Linked DNA regions of Nothobranchius furzeri. Each later gene encodes a partner of the first gene's protein in a complex. Links are inferred from orthologs where the notes say so. Each region holds a gene or a part of one and is shown on either strand. Other genes may lie near its edges.

Evidence for each region.
Region 2: the proteins of upf2 (region 1) and upf3b are in contact, whole or in part, in a crystal structure (PDB 7NWU), measured with the Homo sapiens proteins. The link is inferred for Nothobranchius furzeri from reciprocal best matches to the Homo sapiens genes UPF2 and UPF3B. Residues at the interface, in NP_056357.1 of Homo sapiens: Lys767, Arg768, Pro769, Pro770, Leu771, Glu773, Tyr774, Lys777, Lys790, Arg793, Gln794, Arg796, Lys797, Leu798, Pro799, Trp800, Gln801, Cys811, Ile814, Asn815, Trp817, Tyr837, Gln838, Glu839, Asp840, Ile843, His844, Val846, Asp847, Gly848; in NP_542199.1 of Homo sapiens: Lys52, Arg56, Arg57, Tyr79, Glu81, Phe83, Asn85, Asp86, Thr87, Ser88, Leu89, Tyr90, His92, Tyr94, Arg96, Tyr98, Ile130, Glu132, Pro135, Phe136, Lys138, Ala139, Ala140, Arg147, Asp148, Lys150, Val151, Gly152, Thr153, Ile154.
Region 3: the proteins of upf2 (region 1) and upf1 are in contact, whole or in part, in a crystal structure (PDB 2WJV), measured with the Homo sapiens proteins. The link is inferred for Nothobranchius furzeri from reciprocal best matches to the Homo sapiens genes UPF2 and UPF1. Residues at the interface, in NP_056357.1 of Homo sapiens: Val1105, Cys1107, Glu1109, Asp1110, Phe1113, Ile1114, Ala1116, Leu1117, Met1120, Met1121, Asn1124, Leu1125, Arg1128, Met1169, Pro1170, Phe1171, Val1172, Met1173, Leu1174, Thr1175, Gln1181, Lys1184, Leu1186, Asn1187, Val1188, Pro1189, Ser1192, Gln1193, Leu1194, Asn1197; in NP_001284478.1 of Homo sapiens: Asn150, Thr151, Ser152, Gly153, Val157, Asn158, Leu160, Val161, Arg162, Lys164, Lys166, Pro175, Leu176, Gly177, Thr179, Tyr184, Cys188, Asn190, Val191, Phe192, Leu193, Phe196, Pro198, Asp202, Ser203, Val204, Val205, Val206, Leu207, Cys209.

The regions. Positions count from the first base shown.
Region 1 is NC_091741.1:38,118,480-38,122,126, forward strand, and holds part of upf2 (regulator of nonsense transcripts 2), read left to right. Parts: coding exon 1-163; intron 164-1,111; coding exon 1,112-1,387; intron 1,388-1,484; coding exon 1,485-1,668; intron 1,669-3,647. UniProt on the Homo sapiens protein: Involved in nonsense-mediated decay (NMD) of mRNAs containing premature stop codons by associating with the nuclear exon junction complex (EJC).
Region 2 is NC_091741.1:85,713,638-85,717,997, forward strand, and holds the start of upf3b (regulator of nonsense transcripts 3B), read left to right. Parts: upstream 1-1,456; 5' UTR 1,457-1,582; coding exon 1,583-1,693; intron 1,694-1,916; coding exon 1,917-2,023; intron 2,024-2,099; coding exon 2,100-2,206; intron 2,207-2,293; coding exon 2,294-2,392; intron 2,393-2,538; coding exon 2,539-2,649; intron 2,650-2,998; coding exon 2,999-3,042; intron 3,043-3,136; coding exon 3,137-3,325; intron 3,326-3,398; coding exon 3,399-3,550; intron 3,551-3,636; coding exon 3,637-3,943; intron 3,944-4,034; coding exon 4,035-4,178; 3' UTR 4,179-4,360. UniProt on the Homo sapiens protein: Involved in nonsense-mediated decay (NMD) of mRNAs containing premature stop codons by associating with the nuclear exon junction complex (EJC) and serving as link between the EJC core and NMD machinery.
Region 3 is NC_091748.1:65,897,838-65,901,484, forward strand, and holds part of upf1 (regulator of nonsense transcripts 1), read left to right. Parts: intron 1-262; coding exon 263-419; intron 420-2,244; coding exon 2,245-2,387; intron 2,388-2,675; coding exon 2,676-2,850; intron 2,851-2,980; coding exon 2,981-3,062; intron 3,063-3,150; coding exon 3,151-3,315; intron 3,316-3,647. UniProt on the Homo sapiens protein: RNA-dependent helicase required for nonsense-mediated decay (NMD) of aberrant mRNAs containing premature stop codons and modulates the expression level of normal mRNAs.

The DNA.
Region 1 (3,647 bases):
GGGGAAAAGCTACCTGATCTGTTGCATGATCAACATCTGGAACGTCAAGTACAACAGCATCCACTGTGTGGCCAACCTGCTGGCTGGCCTGGTGGCCTACCAGGAGGACGTGGGCATCCACGTGGTGGACGGTGTGCTGGAGGACATCCGGCTTGGCATGGAGGTAAAAACCCAGCTGGACAAACTTCTGACCTTCACCAGACTGACTTTATTTTAAAGGTTTATGATTTTCTCCAACGGGACCTTTAAAACCCGAGCTCGAGCTGGAATGTGCTGGCAGCAGATCGGCTGATCAAACCGGTGCACACACAGTTCTGCTTTGTGCACATTTTCTAAGAACTGTGTCATCTACCTGCTTGAACCGTCCCTCCTGCGGCTCACTCCCATCGTAAACACGGAGCCTCGTCTTCTGCTGGAGGTGTGGAAGCACCTGAGATCAGAAGAGTCCGATAAAGGATTTCTAAATCGTTCGCTGTAATCTCCTAATTTTAATAATCTAGGACTATAGAACGTCCGTCGTTTAGCGGTAGTTTGTTGTTGTTTCTTGTTTTATAAACAGGAAAACAGCTTCAAACACTTTCTGATCCTTACGTTGGGTCCAGAAACCATCTGCAGAGGTGAAGTTCAGCTCCAGCATGCAGAGCGTGCAGCACGTCCTGCCCAGTGAGAGGAAAGGAAAACATACTTTGTGTGTGTGTGTGTGTGTGTGTGTGTGTGTGTGTGTGTGTGTGTGTGTGTGTGTGTGTAGCGTGTGGCGCCACTGCTGTTAGACCTGAAATCAGCGGCGTGTTGCAGGATCGTTTTCAAGCTCTACGAGTTCAAATGGAGCCGTTAATTTTTCCACAAATGCACAAAGATTCACCTGCATGCGTTAGAATCTAGTCCAGTGTTTCTGACTAGGATCTTTAATATTTAAACTCTGAAATGCGTAAAAACTAATGATGAAAATGATAAATATCTTAGTCTGATGCTGAGAAATGATGGATTTAGGTTGTTTTGATCAACTCTGGAAGATGACATCATCTCTAACATCACAGGTTCTTCGGGACATTTATTTAAAGCTTTTGTTGTTTGGTCGTTTATCTGATGACCGCCTGTCTGTCGGTTCCAGGTCAACCAGCCAAAGTTTAACCAGCGGCGCATCAGCAGCGCCAAGTTCCTGGGCGAGCTCTACAACTACCGCATGGTGGAGTCCGCGGTCATATTCCGCACCCTCTTCTCTTTCATCTACTTCGGGGTGAACCAGGACGGAAGCCCCAGCCTTCTGGATCCTCCGGAGCACCTGTTCCGGATCCGCCTGGTCTGCACCCTGCTCGATACCTGTGGCCAGTACTTTGATCGCGGCTCCAGCAAGAAGAAGCTGGACTGTTTCCTCGTCTACTTCCAGGTATGTCTGATCCATGAAGCTCGTCGTCTCTCGGCTTTACCATGAGAGTTTACAGAATCAGTGAAACGTTGTTTTGTGTGTGTGTGTGTGTGTGCAGAGGTACATCTGGTGGAAGAAGAGCCTGGATATTTGGACCAAGGACCACCCATTCCCCATTGACATCGACTATATGATCAGTGACACGCTGGAGCTCCTCAGGCCCAAGATGAGGCTCAGCTGCTCCATGGAGGAGGCCACCAAGCAGGTCACCGACCTGGAGAGGGAGGTGCTCGTCAAACTAGGTAAAGCAGGGTGTCCGCGGGGTTTTAAAAAGTATTAAAAAGTGATAAATAAAAATAGTCAAATTTAAGGCCATTAAAAGTGTTAAATTTGGTCTCAGAGGTATTATTTTTTCCAAATTAGGTATTATTTTTTTCAGACTATCAGATGTCGTATTCTGAACATCGACATAGAAATATATTCCGAATGAAATGTGTTGAACGATCATAAAAACAAAACAAGCCGATTATTTGCTCCTCCCACTTGCGCTGCCTTGAGTAGCAAATGAAGCGCTCCTCACAATGTTGCCAACTTGTCGACTTTGACGCTATTTCTAGCAGCTTCTCAGATCACCTTCTTGACTTTTTAAATCTTAAAAGTACCTAGCGAACACCTCAGAAACATCTCTGGTAACCCTTAGCTACTTTCTGGATAACTGTCGTCGACATTTCCTGCAGGTTAGCTAAACACTCCGCCTGCGCTCCGGACCGTTCTTCAGGACATTAGGAAAGGGAATGATGTAGTGATGTGTCGGTCGCTACAGAAATGGCTCTCGGAGCCGGCTCCTTGTTGGATTAACCAGAGTGAGTGACACACACACCGCACCTGCGGGCTCCTGAGCCGCTAAAAACGGCTAAATGTGCGGCGTGCTAAACACACGTGCAGCTTGCCCCAATTGCTGTGAGACCGGGTTGGGGGGTGGGGGGTGCAGCTGTGGTTGGGACAATTATTACATTAACTGATGGACTTGTAAATAAATAGTTTATAAATAAGGTAGAAATAATTTCCTCACGCTGATAAATAATAACTAACCTCTCTGAGGACACGGTGCTAGTGCACGCTCCTACAGCACCTTGACACGACTCAGTAAATGTTATGTAACATTTTGTGAACATCAATTTATTTGCATTTATTTGTTATAAATGCCACTGTATAATTCTTGCTGTCAGTATTTGCAAGATATTGGTGTTTGGGTCTGTACTGGTTAGACTTGAATGAGTTAAACCAAGGTCTACAGCCCGTGGGTCATAAACTATGAGGTATAAGTATATTGGTCTTTTTATACTGGGAATCAGGAGTTATTTTAGTGATCATATTTTTTCTTATTTATTTTTGTCCTGATTGTGCCCTGAGCAATTTTATGACTGAATCAAAATAAAAAAATAAAAATCAACATAAATTGAAAAATCGTCTTAAATAATCGAGATCTCAATTTCAGTCACAATAATCGTGATTATTGTTTTTAACATAATCGAGCAGCCCTACTTTAGCATATCCGGTCACATAATGATGACGTCATATTCAGTGGTCGTTCTGCATCATTTCAGGCCTCGTGGTCAACTGTCTGAACCGCTGAACAGAAGTGCCTGGCTTATTTTCTAAGTAAAATAAATATGTGCAATACGTTGTCAACATCAGTGAGTCTCTAAGTCTATTCTTTTTGAATGTTATATATGTTAAAATATGTGTAAATAGGTCGCTGATTAACACTTGCAATTTAGTGTTGTGATGGTTTTAAAAAAATTCTGAAGGTAGTAAAAAAAAGTATTAAAAAGTAGTAAATTTTACTTAAGGATTGCTGTATATACCCTGTAAAGATGAGTTTCAGCTGCCGGAAATCGTTCGTCTACATAGAGTGATGGGTGTTAGAGCAGCAGCCAGTTTCACGGGTTTGTTGGGTCCCGGTCGTCCCTGCAGAGCAGCATTCCTCGGAGTGTGGGAGTGCACGCCACCCACAACCCAACACACACATACACACACTCTTACCCAAAAACCCGTCAGCTCAGAGCACGTTCATTAAATTTAATGACAGCTTTTGTCTCTGACTCGAGTTTGTTTCAGGTAAATGAAACAGATCTGACTCATCAAACACGCATTTCTATTCAATTCAAGTTTATTTATAAAGCGTTAAATCAGGACCAGAGTCGTCTCAAGGACCTTCACACAGTAAACATTCCAGTACAGGTCAGGTCATTAAGCCAATCAGTAACAAGGTTCCTAT
Region 2 (4,360 bases), about 48 Mb from region 1:
CCGGATCGAAAGGAGCCAGTTGAGGTGGTTTGGGCATCTGGTCAGGATGCCTCCTGGACGCCTCCCCGGGGAGGTGTTTCGGGCATGTCCTGCCGGTAGAAGGCCCCCGAGTCGACCCAGGACACGTTGGAGAGGTTACATCTCCAATCTGGTCCGGGAACGCCTTGGGGTCCTGCCGGAGGAGCTGGTGGACAAGGCCGGGGAGAGGACGGCCTGGAGCTCCCTAGTTGGGATGCTGCCCCCGCGACCCGGACCCGGATAAGCGGAGGAAGACGACGACGACAACTTTCAATGCTCTACATGGTCAAGCTCCGCCCTATATTACTGAACTGTTAAAGCCTTATGCTCCAATCCGAGCCCTCAGGTCCACTCACCAGAACGTTCCAGATGTTCCAAAGACCAGATATAAAAGTCGAGGGGATAGCTCCTTCCAGACTGTTGCACCCCGACTCTGGAATGATCTTCCTTTATCTTTATGTAGCATTGACAGTTTAGACACTTTTAAAAAAACAGCTAAAGACCCTTTTATTTAAAGCTACTTTTACCTAAATCTTTTATTTTCTTATTTTTAACTCAAAATTAGAAATCATCTTTCATCTGTTTTATGGTATTTTATCATTTAATGACTTAACTTTTCTGTTTTAATCTTTTTTTAAGATCATTATGATTTTATGACTTTATGATTTGTTTTGTTTTGATCTATGTGAAGCACTGTGGTTTTCTGTCTTTGATGAGTGCTATATAAATAAATTTACTTACTTACTTTACTAGATGATGGATGGATGGATGGATGGATGGATGGATGGATGGATGGATGGATGGATGGATGGATGGATGGATGGATGGATGGATGGATGGATGGATGGATGGATGGATGGATGGATGGATGGATGGATGGATGGATGGATGGATAGATAGATAGATAGATAGATAGATAGATAGATAGATAGATAGATAGATAGATAGATAGATAGATAGATAGATAGATAGATAGATAGATAGATAGATAGAGTAACTTTATAAACAGATAAAGATACAATTTGGTAATACTATTAAAAGATAAATAAAATAAAAGTATCATCCATCCACTCTCTATACCTGTTAGTCCATGCAGGGTCGTGGGATAAACGTATCACAAAATACATTAATCAAATACATAAAAGTAACGAACAAGGAAAATTTGAAACACAAATAGGGAAACAATGCAATGTTTCCAATAAAAAGATGTCTAGTGTCACTAAGTGGACAGTAGACATATCTCAATCTTAACTTTACATCAGACTTAACCCTAGCTCTACAAAAAAATTTACTATAGAAAAATATTTTAGAATGGACATTAACAAAAATATAATTACCAGTAATTACCGAAAATAGTAATTACCAAAAACATTTTTTTTTAAATGTGTAATTGCTTTGTATTTAGCGCCACCTCCTGGTAAAAACTTGTAAATGCAGCTTCAGTAGTCAGAAAGGAAGTTTCGAGCGGTTAGTATCTAGCTGCTAGCTGGCTAACTCTCTGAAAAGTAAACAAGTCTGTTGAGTGAGATGAGAGCAGGCTGTGGATCTCTGTAGACGTTCAGCTATGAAAGAAGACAAAGAAAACACTCGACCGAAGGAGAAAAAAGTGGAGCTAAAGTGTGAAGATGGAGAAAAGACTGAGAAGTCAAAAGAAAAGAAAGAGGCCATGACAAAGGTAAAACTTGCTAGCTAAAGCAGCTAATGTTGCTACAGACGTCAGTTTTGGATTCGTGTAGTTCTATTAAATAAAAGCATGGTTTAACTTTTTTGTTTTGTTTTTGTTTTCAGATAAAATGTTCTACGATTGAAATTATACATTTAAAGACTGGACCAAAATTTCATTTTACAAAGCCCTGCTTAGTAATTAAGGTAGTGAACTTTTTACAATGTGTTCGTAGATTGTAATCAGACGATTACCACCAAGTCTGTCTAAAGAGGAGTTAGAGGAGCAGCTGCAGCCTCTCCCAGAGGTGGACTACATGGAGTTTTTCTCAAACGACACCAGGTGAGTTCACCTGTAAAATGACTGTTAGCATTTCCTTCATTGTGTTGGTCTAACATGGCACTTCCGGTCATTTTAGCCTGTATCCCCATCTCTTCGCGAGGGCTTACATCAGTTTCAAAAATGAAGATGATATTGTTCTCTTCAGAGATCGATTCGATGGATATGTGTTCATAGACAACAGAGGTATCAAGAACACACACCCAGTTTTCTGTGAAGTGTTCCAGAGCGTTGACCTGAGACTGTCCTTGTTTATGTTTGGCCATTCAACAGGACAGGAGTATCCAGCCATTGTGGAGTTTGCGCCGTTTCAAAAGATAGCCAAGAAAAGAAGTAAGAAGAAGGACTCGAAGTGTGGAACAATTACTGAAGGCAAGGGTTTAAACTGTCTGGTGGTTTTGATCTTCTCTGTTATAAAAAGAAATAAGCTTGAAGAAACTCCATGTTCGTCCCTAACATATCTATTTTGAGATCTATCTATAAAAATCTATAGCTCAGCATGTTTGTGTTTTTATCAGATCCTGATTATAAAAAATTTCTTGAATATTACAACGGAGACGAAGAGAAGCTGACATCTACGCCTGAGACCTTGTTGGAGGAGATCGAGGCCAGATCAAAAGAACTTGAAGGTTTGTTTATGACAGCACCGTTATCACTTGCTGTGTTTGTCTTCAAATTCCATTTTTGGTTCTTTTTTTAAACACAGATAAGGTTTTTCTTTACCTTGCTGACGTTTCGTTTACGGCTGCAAACATCTTCAGAGCTGCCGCTGATGTGGATGTGTAGGAAGTGACGCCACCATCAGCGTCAGCTCTGAAGATGTTTGCAGCCGTAAACGAAACGTCAGCAAGGTAAAGAAAAACCTTATCTGTGTTTAAAAAAGAACCAAAAATGGGACTGTTATAACTGCTTGTATGTAAACAGGAGCATTGCATTTGACAAGATTTCTTATTGTGGGTTTCTTCCCCTTTCTTTTAGCTAAAAAGACCACGCCCTTGTTGGACTACCTGAAGAATAAACAGGTAAGCATGTGGTAATCGTTTTTTGGTGTTTAGGATAAATTGGTTCAACTGCATGTTAGCAAGAATCCATCAAACTTTCTATTTTAACTTTCAGAGAATCAGGGAGGAAAAGAGAGAGGAGAGACGAAGGAGGGAGCTTGAACGCAAGCGCCTGCGTGACGAAGAGCGTCGCAAGTGGAGGGAGGAGGAGAGGAGAAAACGGAAAGAGGCTGAGAAGATGAAAAGACTTGAGAAACTGCCGGAGAAAGACAAGGACCACGTTAAGGAAGAACCAAAAATTAAGGTTCGTGCAGTGAAAAAAAAAAATGCATCTGTCAATTTCAAGTTTCTCATGATGATTGTGTCTTTATATTCAGCTCCTGAAGAAACCAGATAGAAATGATGAAGCAGAGTCTGAAAAGCCTAAAGAGAAGTCCAAGAAACCAGAGAAGCCACATAAAGAGGTCCGGTCATTCAGTGATCTGAAGAGGAGACATAACATCGAGAACAAGGAGGATCGTGAAAGAAAGTCAGTTCTTGTTCTTTTTTTCCTGGCATTTTGCACTTTTGTTTGTACATTTAACTGATTTAACTCCAGCTGTGATTTCCTTTTAGAAGAGATGAAAGTGGGAGAAAGGAATTCAGGGAGCGGGACTTTGATCGAGACAGAGAGCGGGAGGAGCGGCGGCAGAGGGAAAAGGAGCGCTTCAGACGGCAGGACGAGGAAAGACGGAGGAGGAGGGAGCAGCATGATGGAGAGAACACGTTCAGGAAGCGGGAAGAGGAGATTAAAAAAGAAAAGGCGTTGGAGAAGAAGAGGAATGAAAACATGGCAGATTCCCCTCGCGGTGAGAAAACGGAGAAGGCTGCCAAAGAGAACAAAAAGGATGAGAGCAGCAAAAGGGAGCGACTGCGGAATAAGGTACGGACTCCAGTTATTTCTCACACTTGTGCCAAATAATTTCTGAGTTTGTTTTCCTTTTGTAATATTTTATTTATATTATTTGCAACAGGACCGACCCGCCATTCAGCTTTACCAGCCAGGGGCCCGGAGCCGCCACCGTGCCACACCAGGAGCAGACAGAAGAGAATCCAACTCTGCCGACAGAAAACCAGATACTGAGAGCAAGAACGTGGCTGAGAAAGTAGACGACTGAGCAGACCTCTGCTTTTGTTCATTTGAGTTAGGTGAAGAGACAGGCCTGCGAGCAGCAGTATGGCGTCTCGGAGCCACGCGCTCCACTGATTAAGCAGGGCTCCCAGTTTCGGAGGCAGAGGTGTGATCCTCTTTGGTCTGTGTTAGGAGAAGAAACGATTCACCTTCTGAAGGAGTTTGGCT
Region 3 (3,647 bases), on another chromosome or scaffold:
GTTTTGTGTAAATAGCATTTATTTCACTTTTTGGGAAATTAAGTATCTAACTGATGTAAAAAGGGGTTTTATGTTTATTATTGACAATGAACAGTAAAGCCTAGCTAAACACAACGAAGATGTAGTTTGATTCTGAAGTCAAGCTGTTCCTTTTCCATTTATTAAAATGTTTGTTTTATTCATCTTTTCAAATGTTTTTATTTGTGTTTTAAAGTTCAACAGAAAATGGATTTTAATTGATTCTGGTGTGTGTTTTTTTTAGGACTGAGGCAGCCAACGTTGAGAAAATCACGACCAGGTTGCTCAAAGCAGGAGCCAAACCGGATCAGATCGGCATCATCACCCCCTATGAGGGCCAGCGCTCATACCTGGTCCAGTACATGCAGTTCAGTGGTTCACTTCACACCAAACTCTATCAGGTACCAGATTCTGCTAAACTACAAGATCACCTCAGGTCTTTGAAATGCCAAATCTACTAGTAAAACAGTGTAGTTTATAACTTCATGCATCAGTAAAAGACCCTGAGGCCTCATTTATAAAACTTTGCATAGAATCTTGTTAAAACTACTCGAGCTCAGCAAAAAACAAATTTACTTATGCAAACTATCCAACTTATAAAACACTGCGTACGCACAGCTGCACACAATTCTGTTCTGTAAATCCCACTCTTCCTAGATATGTGCCCAGGTGTTTTTGGATCAAATCCCAGCTCCTATATACCACACCTTCTGACAAATGGTCATTGCAGAGTACTTTGAATACTCTGGATATAAATAGGCCAGCTGATTGATCGCATTTCATGTAGTAACCATAGCAACAGAGACTTTTGTGACATAGGCACAAAAAGGTGTTTGGCCTAGAGTGTTGCAACAGTGAGCTGTTGAGCCGCTGAGCAATTGCTGTGGACATAAAAAAATTAAAAATAAATAAGCATTAAAACACAATGGTCAGATGGAGGCAAAGAGGAAAACGGCGATAATCATTGATTCCATCCCAAAACGGCTGCATTAAGGTGCTGAGGGATAGCTGAGATATCCAAGTGCCAGGTTTGCTGCGGTGCAGAGTTTTAGTTCATAGTTTTATTAACATGCGCTATCAGACAATGAAGGCATTAATATGTATTCTGAATGTAGCGTCATGTTTTACAACAATATATTAGGGCTGCTTTATTGTGGCAAAAATGATGATCACAATTATTTTGACTGAAGATTATTTAAGATGGTCTTTAATTAAGTTTGATTTTTTTTATTTATTTGATTATAACATTGCACAGTCAGAGGAAAATAATAATAAAAAAAGAAACAGGATAATCACAAACACCTCCTGATTCCTCATGTAAAAGAGCCAATACACTTATTCATAGTTTATGACTAAAGGGTATAGGCTGAAGTTTAACTTATTAAGATTACCCAGTACGTACCCCGTTTGAAATAACAAATACTCCATCTGCTGACAACAAAGGAAAGCTATACGGTATGGTGCAAACATATAAACTATGTTGTAGTGAACTTCCTCAACCTGTAATAATAATTTAGTCCTGTCCCGGCGGAGGTGTGTGTACAGCAGCATGATGCAGCATGTCGCTCAAAGAGATCGACTATAGTTATTTATCAACCTGAGAAATTGGAGGTGTGGTGTGAGAGCACATGAAGATGGTTAGATACGTGTCTCACGCTGGTCGTGTGAGAGTCAGTAGTCCTGATAAAAATAAATCCACCTCAGATGTGGCTCACTGTGTCTTGAACTTACTTTGCTTGTAAACAGCTGTTTTTGTCTTTGTTTTTTTTTTTGAACGAGTGAGATCCACAGAGAAAGGTTTATGATTGGTCAGTCGATGTAACGCGATCAAGCTGCACATGCGCACATCATTCCCTTACCAATGTCTGGAAGGACATTCCGGAGCGCAGCCTGAGTGTTTTGCTAACCTGCACCTTACGTGAGGCTGAAATTCACCATTTTACCATCTTGCAGGTTCTTGTTGGTTTCCTATCTTCAAAATGTACTGATGCTAGGGTAAAGGTTGGCCTAAAGTTGCACATATTTTGCCGTCATGCTCTTAACCACAAAGCTTGCGTAGAGAATGATTTACGTCATTTTCAGACCTCATTTTGTGCTTAAGCTAGCTTTATGAACAAGGCCTCTGTTGAGCTGTTGCCACTTTCTCTGGTGTAAAACTTACTTGTTCCTTTGCTCTTACAGTCCATTCTCTCCTTTAATCGCCTTTCATTGGTTTTTTTCCCATAGCAAGTGGAAATTGCCAGTGTGGACGCCTTCCAGGGCAGAGAGAAGGACTTTATCATCCTGTCTTGCGTTCGTGCCAACGAGCACCAGGGCATTGGTTTCCTGAACGACCCTCGTCGTCTCAACGTGGCGCTGACCAGAGCAAAGTAAACAAACTCAGTTAGAATGAATCTGGATAACATTTGAACGTCAAATCATCAACTCATTCGTTGCATTATTGATTTTTAAATTTTTGATATTTCCAATATTTCCTGGTATTTTTTCTTGTGTGTGTGTGTGTCTGTGTGTGTGTGTGTGTGTGTGTGTGTGTGTGTGTGTGTGTGTGTGTGTGTGTGTGTGTGTGTGTGTGTGTGTGTGTGTGTGTGTGTGTGTGTGTGTGTGTGTGTGTGTGTGTGTGTGTGTGTGTGTGTGTGTGTGTGTGTGTGTGTGTGTAGGTATGGGGTGATCATTGTGGGGAACCCAAAAGCCCTCTCTAAGCAGCCTCTGTGGAACAACCTGCTGAACTATTACAAGGAGCAGAAGGTTCTGGTGGAGGGACCTCTGAACAACCTGCGGGAGAGTCTGATGCAGTTCAGCAAGCCTCGTAAACTGGTCAACACCATCAACCCTGTAAGTAGCACTATAAACTAATCCTACATGAATAAGCCCTAAATGAGTAAAATAGTTGGTACTTGTCATTTCTATTGTCGGCTTCGTTGAACAAAGCCTGCAGCAGTTTGAAATGATGCATGTTTTTCAGGGAGGGCGCTTTATGAGTACTGCCATGTATGATGCTCGTGAGGCGCTCATCCCCGGCTCCGCCTACGACCGCAGCAGTGCTGGTATTTGGTTACTATTTCTTATGTATTTGATCACATCAGTGGGTTGTTGGCAAATGTCAAACTTGTCGTGTTGTTAAAACCCTTTCAGCTGGACGTCCGTCCAACATGTACTTTCAAACCCACGACCAGATTGGGATGATTGGCGCCGGGCCTGGTCACATGGCTGCGATGAATATTCCCATACCCTTTAACCTGGTGATGCCCCCGATGCCCCCACCCAGCTACTTGGGTCAGACCAATGGCCCCGCTGCAGGTACAGCCATGCTAAGTTCATGCACACAGCAGGTTAGAAAAACGGTTATCGGTCATAAAAATAGAAAATTAATCATGATTCTTGGAAATTCACTTGGAAAGTAAACAGAATCTTAAACTGTTGTTGGGTTCGTTAACTCATTCACTGCCATTGACAAATTAAGTCATCAATTGCATTTTTTTTACTGTGTGGGCATCGGAATGAGCCCCCGCACCGTGAGAACAAACATCCCAGCTCTAAAGCCGATCATCTGCGTACGTCACATGATCAGGGAGCAGAAAATCCACGTGTTAGGAGATCGTTTTGGGCCACTGCTGTAAAAAAAGCGAGGC